2 linked regions of the Tamandua tetradactyla genome follow. The protein of the gene in region 1 interacts with the protein of each later gene in a pairwise test. Links are inferred from orthologs where the notes say so. Each region holds a gene or a part of one and is shown on either strand. Other genes may lie near its edges.

The links.
Region 2: the proteins of GRAMD2B (region 1) and CD207 interact in binary tests that used the Homo sapiens proteins (3 or more experiments, as listed by UniProt). The two-hybrid records come from large-scale screens. The link is inferred for Tamandua tetradactyla from reciprocal best matches to the Homo sapiens genes GRAMD2B and CD207.

What each region holds. Positions count from the first base shown.
Region 1 is NC_135347.1:1,299,102-1,308,197, reverse strand, and holds the start of GRAMD2B (GRAM domain-containing protein 2B), read left to right. Parts: upstream 1-5,504; 5' UTR 5,505-5,521; intron 5,522-5,791; 5' UTR 5,792-5,838; coding exon 5,839-5,858; intron 5,859-9,096.
Region 2 is NC_135343.1:44,356,263-44,364,587, reverse strand, and holds the start of CD207 (C-type lectin domain family 4 member K), read left to right. Parts: upstream 1-5,039; 5' UTR 5,040-5,076; coding exon 5,077-5,152; intron 5,153-5,249; coding exon 5,250-5,366; intron 5,367-6,799; coding exon 6,800-7,174; intron 7,175-7,775; coding exon 7,776-7,927; intron 7,928-8,325. UniProt on the Homo sapiens protein: Calcium-dependent lectin displaying mannose-binding specificity. Induces the formation of Birbeck granules (BGs); is a potent regulator of membrane superimposition and zippering.

The sequences.
Region 1 (9,096 bases):
TCATGTTAGCTTTCTGATTTTAATGATCGTACTGTGGTTATGTAAGGTGTTATCATTGGGGGATCTGGATGAAAGATACATGAGAATTCTTTGTGCTATTTTGTAACTTTTTTGTCAGTTTAAAATGACATGTTTGTATGTTCAAAATGAAAAATTGTAAAGTTTGTTTAAATTGTTACTGTCAATAGAATAGGAGATGACGGACAATTGAAAGAAGGTTCTTGAAATTCGGTCACAAAGACATCTGCCACTTTTAGTTGGATACTGGATGATTAGAGCAGTGATTTGCAGCATTGGTTTGGGGCCACTTCCCCCTTTTACTGCCCCTCCACACTTTCTCTTCTGTTTTGATTTGAATATGTCACAAAATCCTCAGGAATTTTCAAAATAATATTGCTTACAATTTAATTTTCTAATGTAAAATATCCTATTCAAACATGTTAGCAAAGGAGAAAGGGAAGGAAAGGGGGAGGAGGGGGAAAATACAGATGACAAGAACTAGTAAATCACTACGAGTTTTTAAACCATCAGCTAAGTAGATTCACCTGGGAAACTTGTTTTTAAAAAATCTGAAGTGCACACCAAGCCTGTAGAATCGTTTATGAGAGTGGGGTAGTTTTATAAACTCACTGGGAGATTCTGAGGCACACTAAGGAAAGTTTGCGGACCACCATTTAAGAAAATGGCTGAATTCTCAAACAGGATATATCACCGCTAGGTGGTGCCAGGATCTCAAAGATGTCACTTACTGGTACCATAATTCCTTTCCCTTTCGTTCTCTCACCCCCATGTCTCCCCAGGTCTTAGGCAAAGGAAATAGATATTTCACTTGTAGCAGTTTAGCAGCATCCCCTTACATTTATTTTGGTTGTGACAGCCATGAGCTATTTCAGCATTCCTCTTTTCCTTACCATCTTAATTTGTCAACAAAAAAATGTTCAGAAGAAGAAAATCCACTGCAAGTATGTGACCTCATCAGTAATGAGGAACTGAATGAGAAAGACTTATGTACAAATTCCTGAGAGCCATATTTCACAATCCGTAGTTTTGATCCCTGCCTCTGCCCAAAAAACATGACTTTAAGAATGTACCAGAATCATAGGTTTATTCTTTCCTGGTTCCCACTGCCTCAGTGCAGAAGTATTTGACAATTTCTTTAATGGCTTTATCCTTTGCTTCTTTCTCAGTTAGATTTTTGCACAATAAAAAAAATATATCCTATTCAGTTGATAATCTCATTTGAAAACATTTCTTATACCAAAATATAAGTACATGTGATTGAAATCTGCTTGAGGACATTGTACATAGTCTTATATGTGCTTTTGAAACACGCATTTAATTCAAATGGCTGGAAACCTGAGCGAGACAAATAATGTAATTCTTTTATTAATTCTACAAATATCTATTGAGCAACTTATATGTGCAAGGCACTGGGGATTCAGAATTGAACAAACAAGATGGATATGCTCATGGACTTGCATTCTAGTTGAGGGAAATGCAGAGAAAAAAGATAAAACAAGATCATGACAGCCAGTGATCAGTTTTTCAGAAGTAAAATGATGTGACACATGTAATGATAGAGCATATTTAATGGTAGAATGAGATTATTCAAAAATGCTTATTATAAATCCTATAGCAACAACTTAAATGTTAATAAAACAGCAAATGAGTATTAAGTTAATGGATATAATAAATGACAGCATAAAAATTCTAATTTAAACCAAGAGACAGAAGAAACACATGCCAAATACAAATGCTGTTGGCTGATTACATGTGGCAAAGCCTGAATAAATAGCCAGTGATTGTTACACTTTGGGTGTTCATCATTTATTGCCACAAGGCCAGTGAGGCCAAATTTGTGGAAAATATTGTTCAAGCCTTACACATTAGTATTTATTTTCATCTAATTTTCTAATGATTTTGAGAAAATGTTGGAAGTTCTAGTTATAATTTGGGATAGCTCTCCTTTTTGTAGCACTGTCAGTTTTTTTCTTTCATGCATCTTAAGGCCTCATTATTGGAGTCACATGCGATTGGCAAGTTTTTGCCTTATTGATTAATTGACCTCTTTAAAACTATTTATTATGCATCTTTATTTCTCATAATAGTCATTGTTCTGATGCCTGACCTGTCTAATACTTAATAAAGCCACATCATTTTACTTTGGTTACAAAAAAAAAAATAAGGTGACAGTTTCTGCACAAGATAGGATAGTCTTTGATGGGGTGGTCAGGGAAGGCGTCTCTGAGGAGGTAACATTTGAACGGAGAGTGAGTGATGGCCAGAAGAGTTGGAGGCCGAGCTGTCCAGGGAGAGGGAAGAGCTAGTAGGTGTAAATGAGGAACAAAAACAGTGTAGGGAAGCAGGATCCAGATGAGATGCGGGTGTGGGCGAAGGGCCAAGCATGGCCACAGAGCACAGTTTAGATTTTAAGTGAAATGAGAAACCACTGGAAAGTTTTAAAACGAATAACATGGTCTAACTTTATTTTCAAAGACCATTCTGGCTCCTCTTTGTAAGGGGAGGGGAGAGTATGAATAGATGCTAGAGGACCACTTGGGAGGCTACTGCAGTTGTCTAGATAAGAGTTGATGGCAGCTTGGATAAAAATGCAAATAAAGTGAAGCCGTCAGTTCCAGATGCATTCTGAAAGTAGAGATGACAAGGCATGTTGGTGGGCTGAATTCAGGGACTGAGGAGATGAGAGAAATCAACAATTCCTAACTAAATTGTTGTTTGAGCAACCAGATGGATGAGGAAGGTATTTACTGAAAAGCATAAAACAAGAAAAATTTGGAGGAGAACTGTGAATCAAAATTCTGGTTTGGTCATAGTAAGCTTTGGGATGTTTTGTTTTTTAAAAAATATTTTTATTGAGAAGCATACACACATGTGTAGAAACAGTGGCTCACAATATCATCATATGGTTGTGAATTCTTCCTCATGACCATTTTAGAACATTTGCATCTCTCCAGAAAAAGAAATAAAAAGAAAAAACTCATACATCTCATACCTTACTTTCCCTCTCATTGACCATTAGTACTTCCATCTACCCAATTTTTTACCCTTTATTCCCCATTACTTGATTTTTTTAATTCATCTGTCCAAACTCTGGATAAAAGGAGCATCAGACACAAGGTTTTCACAATCACAGTCACATTATGAAAACTATATTGTTATACAATCATCTTCAAGAATCAAAGCTACTGGAACACAGCTCAGCAGTTTCAGGCACTTCCTTCTAGCCACTCCAATACACTATAAACTAAAAAGGGATATCTGTACAGTGCTTAAGAATAACCTCCAGGATAAGCTCTCGACTCTGAAATTTCTCAGCCACTCACACTTTATTTTGTCTCACTTCTCTCTTCCCCCTTTGGTCAAGAAGGCTTTCTCAGTTCCTTGATGTGCGGTCCCAACTCATGAGCTGTTTAATGTGGGAGAGGTCAGGAAGGAATTATAAGATTTGGGACTCATCCAGATATAAATAGTATTTAAAACCATAAGGCTGGTAGCTGGGGAACAGGGGTAGCTGGAGAGGGTGTGGAGGACTGAGCCCACTGCCCCCAGAGCAGTGCCGTATTGCTCTTCTCTCACAGGCTGCAGTGGTCACTATAAATAACGATGTGGTTAAAAGCAATGCTGGGGGGAAAAAAAAACAAAAACGCAATACTGGGTAAGGCGAGACTAATAACACATCATGTGGTCATTGCAAGGAGTAAAGGAGGAATGAATAAAATATCTAAGACTGTGAAGTATTTCCTATTTTCTTCTTTGATAAAGTGGACTCTGCAGAAAAATTGCAAAAGAACTGTTCCACAGATCATCATATTGGGAAACACTGATTTACTCCAAGCCCACGTTTTATACACAAGCAAACTGAGGACAAGGGAAGTTAGATGACCTAAGCAAACTCCCACAAGTAGTAACAAAAGTTTTCAAACACTGAGCTGGGCCTCTTTATTCTAGAACACACCTCATTATGATACTGCTTGTAGGCTAACAGAGTTCCCCCAACTTTTCTACTAGCTTTCCCCTTTCAGTGACATATTCCTGGTCTTTTCCTAAAGCTGAATTTATGAGGTGTCTTTAGTGGATTTTCAAGTTAATGAAATGTCTGTAGTAAGCTGGCAAGTTCCTTTATTTGTCTGCAATAGCACCCATGTGGTTTGTGAGGAGTTACCTAAGAATGGATGTGTTCTATATCCCTAATTTGGAATAGAAGGTCACTTTAAAATTTGTATTTATTTTAAAACGCAGTAATTGTATAATCAAACTGTTACTGTATATTTAAAGCTTCACCTCCAATCATATCTCTGACTTTGGATCCATCCACATCATCTGAAACTTCTGAACTTTCATTTCTCTGACTGCTAATATCAAGGACAGTAAAATGAGGGTTAATATTTGCCAAAGCTTTGACCCATAGCTCAAAGTTTGTAAGTCAGCAGAAACTATCTCTATGGGGGATCAAAAGAACCTTGGACTAACTTTCTTAAAAGCAATAAGCATCATTTTTTCTCTAATTTCTTTCCTTAACTGTCAAAGTTAAGCAGGAGAGAGAATGAGAACAGACTTCTGAGTGCCCTTTCTTATCACCATCCTGCAGAGTACATGAACACTGACCATTAACACGTCCAAAGACCTTACATGTGAGACGGGAGACAGGATTGGAAGCCATATTTGTCTTGCTCAGACAATGCGTTACCGTTTTAATGCAAAAACCTGGAGAATAGTCGATAAAAGGATGAGAAGTACTGCCAGCAACAGACTGAGAAGAGCGGGTGGTGATTGAGGCATGTCACATGGTGACTGCAGAGAAGACACAGAAACACATGAGGCTGCTTGAGGTCAGGCCTGGGGACTGTTACAACATAGCTTCTGTAAATTGTGAGCGAGGAAGGCTAAAAAGGGAAATGGAAGGATAGAAGGAGTGATTGGAGAGGGGTTGTGGCAGCCAACTATGATTCTGAAATCTTTAATAGGTGTCAGCTACTTGTCACAGACCCTACCCTAAAGCTATTTTTATTTATTTCTATGACACCAGGCCTTTCACGAGGATCATACTACTATCCACGGAAGATTCCACTATGCTCCCTAAAGGCCCCCTGACTGATTACTGAATCTGAAGGCCTTCTCAAAGTTACATTCATTTAATTAAGTAGTTGACAATTCGTAAAATGTTATTGCCCCGAGGGGGAGCAACACGTTTTACCCTATTAATATAGGACCTAAACCAGTGAGCTATCACTGTGTAACAAATCATCTCAAAACTTATGGGTATAAAACAACAACTATTTATCATTTGCCATGGATCTAGCCACACGTTGGCAGGTGGGTCTGCTAGTCTGAACCAATTAGATTTCAGCTGGGCTCACTCAGGTGTCTGTGGTCGGAGGGCCCATTGGGAACCAGGTAGATTATGACAGCTGGAAAGGTGCAATGGCCTTCAGTCTGGCTGGTTGTCATGGTGACCTCAGAGCAGCCCAAGAGGAAGCAGAAACACACAAGACTCCTTGAGGTCCAGTCTCAGAACTGTCTCACTGTCATATTCTACTAGATATGCAAGTTCCCAGGCCACCTCAACTCAGAGTGGGCAGGGACTTCTAAGTTATCAAACAAAAGACGGATAGAGAAGCTGTTAATTTAATTGGGGTCATTGATGCCTTCAATCGATCACAGGATCTGGAGACAAATTTTGATAAAAAGAATAGGAAAAGGGAAATAGGAATTAAAATTACTGGTATTCTTAATAATCTCATGTATGTAAATCTCTTCTTCTATTACCTAGCCTTGAACTCAAGTAGATGGACTCCCCCTACTCATTTCCTGTTTCTTATGCATGCAAATCATCTCAGGTATGTTATGTCTTGCAATGGTCTTAGATTAAAATGACTTAAGTATGTAATTGTATTTAATCATTTGCATTCAGCCAATTAAAGTTACATTTGATACAGTTTAAAAACCCTTAAATGTCATTCTGCATTCTTCTAAGTAATGAGCGAGCTTGTGACCTGGTGGGACAACTAAAAAGGAGGAAGAGTGGAAGGGTTAAACTTTCTTGTTACTTTAATCTTCTAGCAGGAGGGGTTCATTATGTGGTTATTGAATCCCCACAATGAGGAAAGGATCACGATGAACCCAGCACAAAGCATGCTGTAAAAAGAAAACTATAATCTGGCTACTGAAAGCATGGAGAAGACAGATAAGACGTTGATATTATCACTTAGTAAATATCAAAGTCGTGTTGAGCGTGTTTGATTTGTATAATGTACAGCCATTGCTTCAAAGGAATACACCGAGGAACACTTAGGGCGGATTCAAGTGGAAGCTGAGTTAGTGTACACTTACCACCTTCTAAAGTGAGGAAAGACACCGGGGTTGGAGGTAGATAAAGGTCGTTGCGAGTAAGGGTCAGTGAAAGGGACCCCAAGCCAGCATCAGGACAAAAGGAAGCTCTTGAGGTGGCAGGTAATATGACCTAGAAGAGAATGTTTCTGTGTTCATTTGCTGACCCGCACGTATGCGTTTCAGTGGTGGCTGATCTCTTCCTTCAGAGCAAACACTGAAAGAGAAACCTCTGATGCAGCCCTGGTGATAGAAAAAAGACCAGGTCACTTAACTGAAAGGGCTGTCATTGGCCAGATCAAAAGTGAACTCAAAGTTCCTTCCTGGTACTTCCCAGAGTTTCTTAGAGATCAGCTGGCCCCCAGAAGATGTGGGGAAAACAGCAGGCCCAAAGATTCGGGGCCCTACCTGTGGAAAGAAGCATTCGGCAGGCGCTCCAAACACAGCTCATGCCCTGGAAGGGTGTGCTCCAGGAGAGGAAAGAAAAGCCAGTGGATCAAGGCCTGGAATTGTGAGTGACAGGTCTCAGACCTGGGAAAAAACAGTGGAGATGGGAGTGTTGCCTCCTTGCTATATAAAAGGTCTCTTCAGCATCTCCAGAATAGGCTGTCTCTACAAGGAGAAAGTTTTCGGTTGCCTGTTGGTTGCCCCTTGTTCATCAGCAGGCGCTTGAGCTGATCCCACATCCCTTAATATCAGGAACCTCGGACACAATTGTATTTTGTTTATAGATCTATTGCATAGAAGAAATGGCTGAGCTTGAGGTTTTTTCAAGTGGAAGAAAGAGGAATTCAAGCTGAGGTAGCATGAGTAAGACTGGGAGATGCTTGGAAGGCATGGTTGCAATCTAGGACTCAATTTATTCAGGAAGGCTCAGCTTTTCCCAATTTAGTAAAGGGAACATGGGATCCCAAAACACCTGCCCTGTCATACTGGTGGCGTCAACTCTAAGTTTTGGTTTTAAGTTCCTTTTAATCAAGAAATATGGGTTTGGTTTTCGGTTAGGTTTCTTTGAGTTCCTTGTTAAGTTTATATTTTGGCTTTGTTTTGTTTTACAGTTCAAATGTAAAGTGACATTTGTAAAGTGACAAACAAAGGTACTTAATTAAAAAAAAATTCCTCTAGAAATTCCAAACTACCAATTGCTTGACTATTCCTCAAAGAATCCCATCCTTACAGGAAAGATAATTTTCTGGGAGGGTTATTATGCTCAGCCCTGTCCTGGGGCTATAAACAAATGCCTCCAGAAAGATAGGTGAAGGCATCACAATGGGTACATACAGCGACACTATGAAGGCAAAGACACAGTATAAAATGTCAATGCATTGAAGACACCGGGAAACCTGTGATTTCCTTCCATTTTGGGGAGACACTGTTACAGGAGATAGAAACAAGGCTTTGGATTTTAAAGCCTGCATTAGAACATCAGCTCTGCTGCTGTTTAACTGAGTATGTGGACTAGGGAAGGAGACAATTTTTCTTGATCTTCAGTGGCCTTATCACCAAAATGGTGAAAAATGTACCTGTTTCACAGCATCAAGAGGATTAAATATCTCTATATGTAAAGTGCCAGGTGTATAGAAATTACAAAATAGAAATTGCACAATAAATATGTTTTCTTCACCCTTCCTCCCTGAAAACCTTACAAGAAACACTGAAAAGTAAGGGGTATGGTATGCATGAATTTTTTTCTGTTTTCTTTTTATTTCTTTTTCTGAATTGATGCAAATGTTCTAATAAACTATCATGATGATGAATACACAACTATGTGATAAAAAAAGAATGTCCATATTGTATGTTGATTGGTTTTATTAATAAAAATTAAAAAAAAAAGAAAGAAACTGGAAAAAAATCTCATCTCAAGAGAAATTGCCAATGGCTCCACAGCCTCTGTGCTGGCCTCAGGTTGATGGCCAAACCACAACTCGCACAGTTCCCCCGGGTACAGAGGACAGAGGTAGATCTCAAATTCTGTTCTACCAGAACTCTCAAAATGATGCTGTCCCATCTGGGTTAAGTACTCAGTGTAGAGACAGAAAAGTTGGTGTGTGTACCTACAGCCGATGCAATGGTGTTTGAGTCTTGGCTTCTTCACTCGAAAGCTGTGAGACATGAGATTGGTTAACTTCTCCTCTCTGAGCCTCAACTTTCTCATCAGCAAAATGAGGGTGGTATCTCCCTTATGGAGTCATTTCCAGCACTGCAGGTGAAGAAGCCAGCCTCTGTCACCAGAAACATTGTGATCTTTCAAAACCCTTTCCCGATTTGTCTTCCAGTTGGGCCTTCTACATTGTTTTATTACCAGTGGAGAATATTTTTCATATGTTCCTTGGCCATCCGCATTTCTTCATTTGTAGATTGCCCACTTATGACCTGACATTTCAGCTGATTCTATGCGCTCAATTCTCAAGACTGAACTATCAGAGACAGAGCCATCTCAGCACCTTGCTTCGAATTCAGCTCAGCCCCAAATCCCGCTGCTTTCTCTGTTTTAAAAACTTGCAGGATGAATGCAAACTAGAAGAGCTGTAATCAATAGCAACATAGATATATATTAGTGTATAAAACTCACTTTGTCTTTATTTGAGAGATAATTCATAACCTTCTAAATGCCTGAAGATTTTGTAAAGAATCATCAGTATAAGTGTTCTTTGTTATTGCTGTTGCTACAAACAGTGAAACAAACACCCACCTAGAAAATGTAATTTCAGAGTTAACAAGAAAGAGAAAGGGATGATACCAAAAACC
Region 2 (8,325 bases), on another chromosome or scaffold:
GGGGTGGAAGAGATTGAAAATAGTGAAGATAAAGGTCCAGCAAATACTTAACCAATTCACTGCAAGAAAGACTGGGAAATGTCTAGGATAACATGGGTATTTGTAAACACTAATAGTTCCTGCCTCACCAGGAGCACTTCACAGTTGGATCACCCTACAGCAAACCCCATATATGAGAAACCCCACTCAGTTTCAGAGCTCATAAGCAGCTTAAAACTGAATAGGTTCCAAGGCTTCCTAGGAAACTGAGGAAAGTCTCTGACATGAAAAATACAGCCCCAAACTAGCAAATAGAGAAAAAGTAACTTTTGGGAAATAGAGAATATAACTGTAGAGCCTACAATATAGGGAGGAAAAAAATAAAAACCAAATGGAAACAAAAAAAAGCTCTATCACTGCTAACCTAACAAATAGAAGAGCAGATGTTGCAACAATATAACAAAGACAGATGCTATAAAAATGAATATTCAGGGAACCCAAAATGTCTAGGAAATTAAAATATAGAATTAAAAGTGGAAAAAATAGAAGAGTTGTTAGATAAAGATAAGGATATTTCTTAGAAATAGAGCAAGATGACATGGAGATTGCAAATAAGAGAGAAGATGAGAAAACTCAATCAAGGAGGACCAAGATTTAAATAACAGGAGCTCCAAGGGTGAAAATCACTAATGAAATAATTTAAGAAAGCTCCCCAGGAGGCTCATTTTATTTTGAGGCCCGAACCCCAGGACCTATCACTGTGGCATGCCCACTGTAATGGCAGGAACTGGAATTAGTAGCTCCATTTGAACCATGTGCTGAAAAGGGGGGTAATTTTCTGAAGGAAGGGGATTCTTGGTATTAAAAATGGTGGGGATAAGGGAAAGATGTTGGGGAGGAAAAAACAGGAGCTATTCCCTACTTATACAAATATATACCTAGTTATGGTTAGACATCAATATAGGTATAGTTTATGGATATGGATGCAGATGTATATACATATGCATATAGGTAGGAAGAGTGGACTACGGGTAGAGCTGTTTTTTTTCTGTATGGGGGCAGTTTCTTTTTACCCTTATCTGGATTTTTTATATTATCCATTGGTTATATAAAAAAGGAATAAAAAATCTAAAAAGAAACCATGCATATTTTTTCCCAAGAGTCTCTCATTACTTTCCTGACATGAATTTGCTCTTTTCACTAAGCCATAGCCAAGACTTCTTTGACTTGAATAGTTCAGCCTGTGTGGCCCCACCACCCACCCATGTCTATATCACAGTATCCCTGATGGCCCCAGACACAACAGCCTGTTTACCAAGGTGTGGCCTTTTGTGACTGTCCCAGAGAAATCTGCTACCATATGACGTCTTAAAAATGTAGAACCCGTTTGTAGGGACAAGGGAGACTGGGGAGGCATCCTACAGCGTCTTCAGTCCTGTTCAGTCTTGGGAGAGTTTTCCTTTCTTCCAAACTTAAGGATGCCATATATTTTCTGTAGGAGAATACTTTTTCTGAGGGCAGGTCTACCACTATCTTCCCTTCTGTTCCACCAGTCCCTGGGCCATCGTAAGCACATTACAAACACAGAGGAAGGAATAGATGAACGCTCTCACTTTCCACTTCTTCCTTCTTGGTTTCACTGAGGGGTTCCCAGGCCATGTACCAGAGGGTAGCACAGAATCCATTGATTATCTTGGGTCTGCTGGCCAAGCCCCTCATCAGAGCTCCGTTATCTATGGACTCCACTCTGAGGCCTGAGGACCCTATTGACCTGCTGTGATCCACCTCTTCTCTCCCCTCACCTCTCAATCCCTTGCTTTCATAGCCATGCTCCCCTCACCTCTCAAGTCCTTGCTTTCTCTCTCTTCTCCTCCCCTGTCCCTACTTGACTTCATTATCCACTCCAGTGTCCTCCATGCCTTGAATGGAGGGACTTGGATTACTATTTCTTGGTGATAACTCTCAGCATTGCTGGGTCATTCCAAACAACCCTGTTCTCTCTTTTCCTCTCACCATGACAACTTGATTGATTGCATCCTCTGCCTACCTCCAAGCATAAGGCTGGTCCCAATCAGAGAAGGGGAAAAGTCGCCCAGCTCTCTCCTTCCTCCACCTTTATCCAGAGAAGGTCTCAGAACCCGAGGAGCAAGGGGGGAGAGGAAATGGAAAAAAATAATCACAGACTTCCCTTTTCTTGTTACAGCGGTGATTTTTGGCCATTCCAGGTCTGGCCCAAAGTTCCTCTTCTGTTTGGAAGAGTGGGGCATCTCCTGAGGGTCCGGGAGAACTGCCTGCTGTCTAGACCTGGAAAGTGTGACTGAGGCCCCTGCTTCCCTCTTGGTCTTTTCTCCTTTCAGGCCATCAGGCCAAGGGCAGAGGGAGTACCTGTGGGATGCATAAGAGATGCTCAGTAACAACCTGCAGATGGGTGAGGCTGTAGGATAATAGCTTGTGACTCACTCCTTCCCTTCAAAGCAGGAAATGAAACTCCGGTTGGTTTGGGATTTTATGCCTGCCTTCTCTGAATGGCCCAGAGGCCCACAGCCCACTCTAGGCATCAGGCTGCTTCTTGCTTGGCTTCCTCATGCATGACCAACCTTTGGCCGAGTGATTAGTCAGATGTCCACTTGAGGCTTCCATTTCCATCACTGAGAGTAAATGCTCCCCAGCCCCAACCCCTCCTCACACAATGGGCCCCTGCCCGGTGAGGCTTCCTAATCCTTTCCTGGGACCTGGGCAGGACATGTGGAGTTCTGCCAGTAACTCATGCTACAGGCTAGCAGGGGTTTGGAAAAGTGAACTTCTTGACAGAGAAGGAAGGTGCCAGACACTCCCAAGGCATGTCATGAGGCAGCCTCTTTCCCTCAAATGCCACAGGAGGAGACTCGGAGGGCCTCTTCTACCAGGGTCTTCAGTAACTTGAGTTCTTCTTGCTCCCACGTCTGGTCTGTGACAGGTTGTGGATGTGGGGCCAGAGCAGGAATGGGGGCTGAGGCCTTCAGGGTTACACTGGGCACTGAGCATGACAGCCCAGAAGCAGAACATCCTAACCCCTTCTAACCAAGGCTCTGCATCTAACCAGATGAGCAACCTGATGAGAAGAGAGAACGTGTAGTCATAAAGGTTAGATACAAGCAAAGACAGTGAGGCCCTCAGTTTGCGGTATTAGCTGGTGTGAAAGGTTTGAACAAACAGGAGGCCTAGAAGCTACTGAGACAATATGGGTGGGGAGGAATGAGACAGGATGAGTGGGACACCAGCCCCTGGGACTATCTCCATCCTTGTGATCAGGTTTGGAAAGTGGTGTGGGGTCCTCTCTGGGTTCCCTTATCCAGTCAGAGTAGCGGCTCCAGGTGAGGTCCACTCAGCCCAGAGAGAGAGCAGCAAGGGGCTTTCACATACTATAGGGCTGGCCAGACAGGGCTGGACAGGGCAGGGACATAGGATCCTCTCAAATACCAAAGGCAGTAGAAGCCTCTGCAACTTTGAGTAGTTATTTCCTTGTCTTGCTCATTTTAGTCCCTGATACCACCCAGTCATCCAGCTCTACTGGCCCAGATTCAGCAAGGCCAGGCCAGCTTCGTAGTCCTGTGGTTAGAGCTTTTAGGCATTTCTCAATAAGGTTTAAATTATACTTCCCCTTATGCATTTGCTATGGGAATAAATGAGAACTCCTGGAGGCTGTGGGAAGGAGTAGAACAAAATCCACAGACTGTGTAGGTTTCAGAATCGAGTCACAATCAGCCATCAAAACTTTCATTCATTTATTTTCCATCCATCCAACCATCTATCCATCCATCCATCCATCCATTCATCCATCCATCCATCCATCATCTGATTACCTAGACCAAGTTCCTTCGCTCTCTCCCTCCCTCCTTTCTTCCTTTCCTTTTTCTTCTGTTTTTCCTCCTTCAAAAAAAGGTTTGTTTACTGTCTGCTATGTACCAGGTTTCTCAAATTTGGCAGGCTTCTTCAAAGCAGGAGTAACTACCCAGGAGAAAATTTAATCCTTTATTGAGTCCCATTTCAGCTTCTCAGCCTTGAGCATCTCCCATGTATGGCGCTCTCTATATAGGAAGAGAGAGAAAGAACAGTTCCTGGTCTGATGTAACTGAGCTTCCCAATATTGTTTCAGAAGTTTACAAGTTGCAGGAAGCAGGTGGCTTATAAACCAAATCTTACATTCACATTTTGAATCTCCAAGTGGCATATTATAAAAGGATACTGTATCTGCTAAGATGCCTGAATAGCCGAAAGTAGAATATTTTATTACAGTGATCTCCCTATTGGGCTCTCTGCTTCTAGGTTCCCTCCACCCCAACCTATGCCCCTTGCCATATTGAGAATGTTCTAAAGCACTCCATTGCCTGAGACTCTACCTTGCCTGAGACTCTACATTAATTCCACGTCACCCACAAGCCAGGAGAGAACCCTAGCATGACCCAAAAGGATCTTCATGGTCTGCTCCCAGATGCCTCGCCTGTTTTATACTTTATACTCCAACAGCACAGATTTATTCACAGTTTGCCAAGCATGCGGTACTGTTTTATGCCCTCATACCTTTGAATGTGCTAATCCTTCTACCTGGAGCTCTTTCTATCACTCTTTTCTCTGCTTCCCTTGAATTGGGTGTATTCACCTATTGTTATGCTCACCACTCTGTGTTGTAATTTTCTTGCTCAGGTCTGTCTTTCCTTTCACTTTGTGAGCTGTCTGAAAGAAGGATGGTGAGTTACTCATCTTTGTGACCCAGTGTCTAGTACGGTGCTTGGTACCTGGAAGGCACTTAATTTATATTTATGGAATGGATGGACGGACAGATGAAGGAAATCTTACAGGAGAAATAAGATAGCTTTGAGACAAGATGGCTAAAGTGTCCATGTGACAGGACCTCCTCCTTTTCCTGAAAGCTCAGATCTTTGAGAAGATGACTGAATTGCAGTCCAGGCCAGACAAGGTGTCCAAGTCAGAAATGGGGAACTTTGGGATGACGTAGGGGATCTCCTGCCAGCCTTGCTTCCTATTTCCTCTAGATAAAAGGATCTTGGGGAGGTCGGACATCCCTGTGCAGCAAGCTGCAGGGGTGAGCAAAGCAGGATGAAGGCTGCAGAGGAAGAGGTGCCAGATGCACACTTCATTGTAGACAAGCAGAACATCTCCCTCTGGCCCAGAGGCAAGTGCCAGTGGCTGCTTGAAACCTACTCACTGAGCTGTACCCGTACTGGCTGTTGACTGTTCCTTCAACAAATGTTTGCTTCTTCTTCTGGCAGATTCTTCTTCCAAGACTGATCAGCCTCTGCTTCTGAGGAAATCGACCACAATTTGTGCTACATTAATCTTCCTGGCACTGGTCCTGGCCACCTCCGTCCTGCTTCAGGCCTTTCTCTGTAAGTCCTCAGTCTTACCTTCTGGGCTCAGTCCTCCTCCATGGCCCATAGCTTCCTCATGTTCGAGACCCTGTCTTTCCTGCTCTCCAGGGTTCTTTCCTGCCTACACCTTCTCTTATTTGCCTTATTTCTTCTCTTCCCGCATCTAGTAAAAGAGCCACAGAGCCATCCAACCTAGTAAGATGAGCAGCCGCTCTTTCCTTCCAATGCCTCGGAGATTTTCCCAATCATTTCCTGATTGGGTTTAATGCTTGCATGTTTGTGCTCAAGGCTATGCTCTTTTGTCCCCAGGAAATAGTCATCTACTTCTTCATCCCATGTCACTCTCTCTGTGCTATGTATTCCATAGATTCAGAAGGTCATAGCTCTTGGCAGTGAGTGAAATGTTTCCTGGCCCCACAAGGGATGAGTCCTAAGTGCATATTCAGTCCCAGTTGGAATGGAAAACCTGGCTGATGAGCTAACAAATCTTCATGGTTTGAGTCCCATCTCCAAGACCCCTTTATGGCCTCTTCATTCTCCTGTCCTTGCAAAGATCACATCAAGCTAGTCTTTCTACTCACTCATTGGATGTGTGGCTTAGCTTTCTTCCTCTTCTGGCTTTACTAAGTCTCATGCCCTCTATTGCTGGCATAGGTTTTTTCCTCCTGCCAGGTCTCTAGAAGGCAGAGGGAGGGAAGGGTCTGTCTTCTTCCTTTGTGATCTCAGGGCACATTTGGTCTCAGACTTGAAGCTTCTGGGCAGAGGCTTCCCCCCCATCCCCACCCCTGATTTGCCCTATCCTCCTAAGTCTCTAACATTGCCATTCCCACAGGCCTTTCTTTTGTACCTTCTTGGTTTCTTTTTATTCTTCTTTAAATGCACCCAAGTCTGTGACCTGAAGAGAGTGGGAAAGTAGGTGAGGCAAGAGAAGGGGAGAAGTGGTTCTATTATTCTCCCTTTCAGTCTTCTCTGGAGAAGATTCCATTTCCATGTTAGGAACCTGCACCCTGGCCCTTCCCATGGTCAAGGAGGGACATGTGGACAGATGTGGGAGGTATGGTGCCCATTTGCTGATGGCTGCTGAGAGAAGAGGGCTGCGAATCAAGTGATGGAGCCCAGAGGGATGTGGGGAAGGTGAACAGTGGGTGATTGAGGGTGTCCTTTTACCAAATGTGCCTTGAAGACTCAAAGAAATTTGGAACTGGGTTCTAATACTTGCTTTGGCTTGCCTGTGAGTTCCTCTACCAGGGAGACTGTTTTTAGCCATCTTTGTATTGTTTATACCCACCAGAGATCCTGAATGAATGGAGAGTGGGAGGCAGCACCTTCGACTGGCTTTGTTCTTCGGGAAGTTTGAGCCTGTCCCTTCCCTTCCCTGTCTTTTTTCACCCCGACAACACCCCAACTCCTAGGGTTCCTCTTCGCTCACCTCTTGACTTTCTCAAATTCAGATCCTTGGCTTTTGGGCACAATATCAGATGTAAAGACCAAAGCCCGGTTGCTGAAGGGCCGTGTGGACAATATCAGCAGCCTTGGGCCTGAAATTAAGAGGAATAGCGATGGTGTGGAGGCGGCCAGCACTCAGATCCAGGCGGTGAATGTCAACTTGGATCATGTGCGTTCTCAGATCCTGACGGTGGAAACTGGGCTGGAGAAAGCCAATGCACAGATCCAGAGGTTAACGAGAAGTTGGGAGAAAGCCAATGATTTTTATGCCCAAATCCCAGAGTTAAAAAAAGATTTGGATAAAGCCACTGTCTTAAATGCAAAGGTCCGGGAACTTCAGAACAGTTTGGACAATTTCAGCAAGATGCTCAACCGGCAAAGTAAGTGCCTCAGAAAATAACGTTGCAAGCTGACCAGTGCCCATGGGGCCTCGCCTGTCTTAGATGTGAGGCTTTTGGGCTGGTGGGTTAGGAGGGAAAGGGCAGAGGAGCAGGTCAAGCATAAACTAGAAGGTTAGGTAGAGAGGGCTCAGCATTGGAGTTGGGAAGGACTTAGGGGCTGTTTAGGGGAGAAGAGACCAAAGGACAGCCTGTGTTTTCACACTAAGGCATGGAAGACAGAAGCATTAGGAAGACTCTCTGGCATGCCCTAAGCCCCTCCATTTCTTATTATGTCCCTTACTTAGAGCCCAGGGCTCAGCCTTTTGTGATGGCCAATGGAGAATTGTTTTCTCTTATGAGAGAGGCAGATCTTGATCCATTCACTCTTACTCTTCCTTCTCTAAGCTTAGGGGCTTGACCAGTCTTAGGCAGACTTTCAAGGTCAGAGAGAGTGTCCCAAAACCTTTACACAAGGACTTGAGGCACACATAGCCTGGCCCCATTCACCACTCTTTCTGAGATCCCACGCATGTGTCCCAGCCTAACTAACATCCAGAGAAAACAGGAACACCAGTATTCACCTTTCACCCTTGTTCTTCAGATGACATTTTACAGATGGTTTCTCAAGGCTGGAAGTACTTCAATGGGAACTTTTATTACTTTTCTCACATCCCAAAGACCTGGTATAGTGCCCAGCAGTTCTGTATATCCAAAGAGTCACGCCTGACCTCAGTGATTTCAGAGAGTGAACAGGTGAGTACTGTTCCTTTGGGCTCTGGAAAGTCAGTGTGTTAGCATCCCAGGGCCTATATCAGTCAGGATGGTCATGATTATGCTGCAGTAACAAACAATTCCCAAATAGTAATGATCTAAGAAGGATTATTTCTCCCTTATACTGCATCTCTAACAAGGTCCTGCTCATTGGGATTACTCACAGACCTTTGTTAAAGGAGACTTCATCTCAGCATATGTTTCCACCATTGCTGAGACAGGAATGGGGAACATGGTAAATTGTCAATAGCTCTTAAATTTTCTGCCTGGAAATAGCACATTACTTCTACTCACATTTCCTTGGTCAAAGCACATCATACCATATTCATAGCTTCAAAGAGGGCAGGGAAGTACCATCCTTTCATGTGCCCGGAAAACAA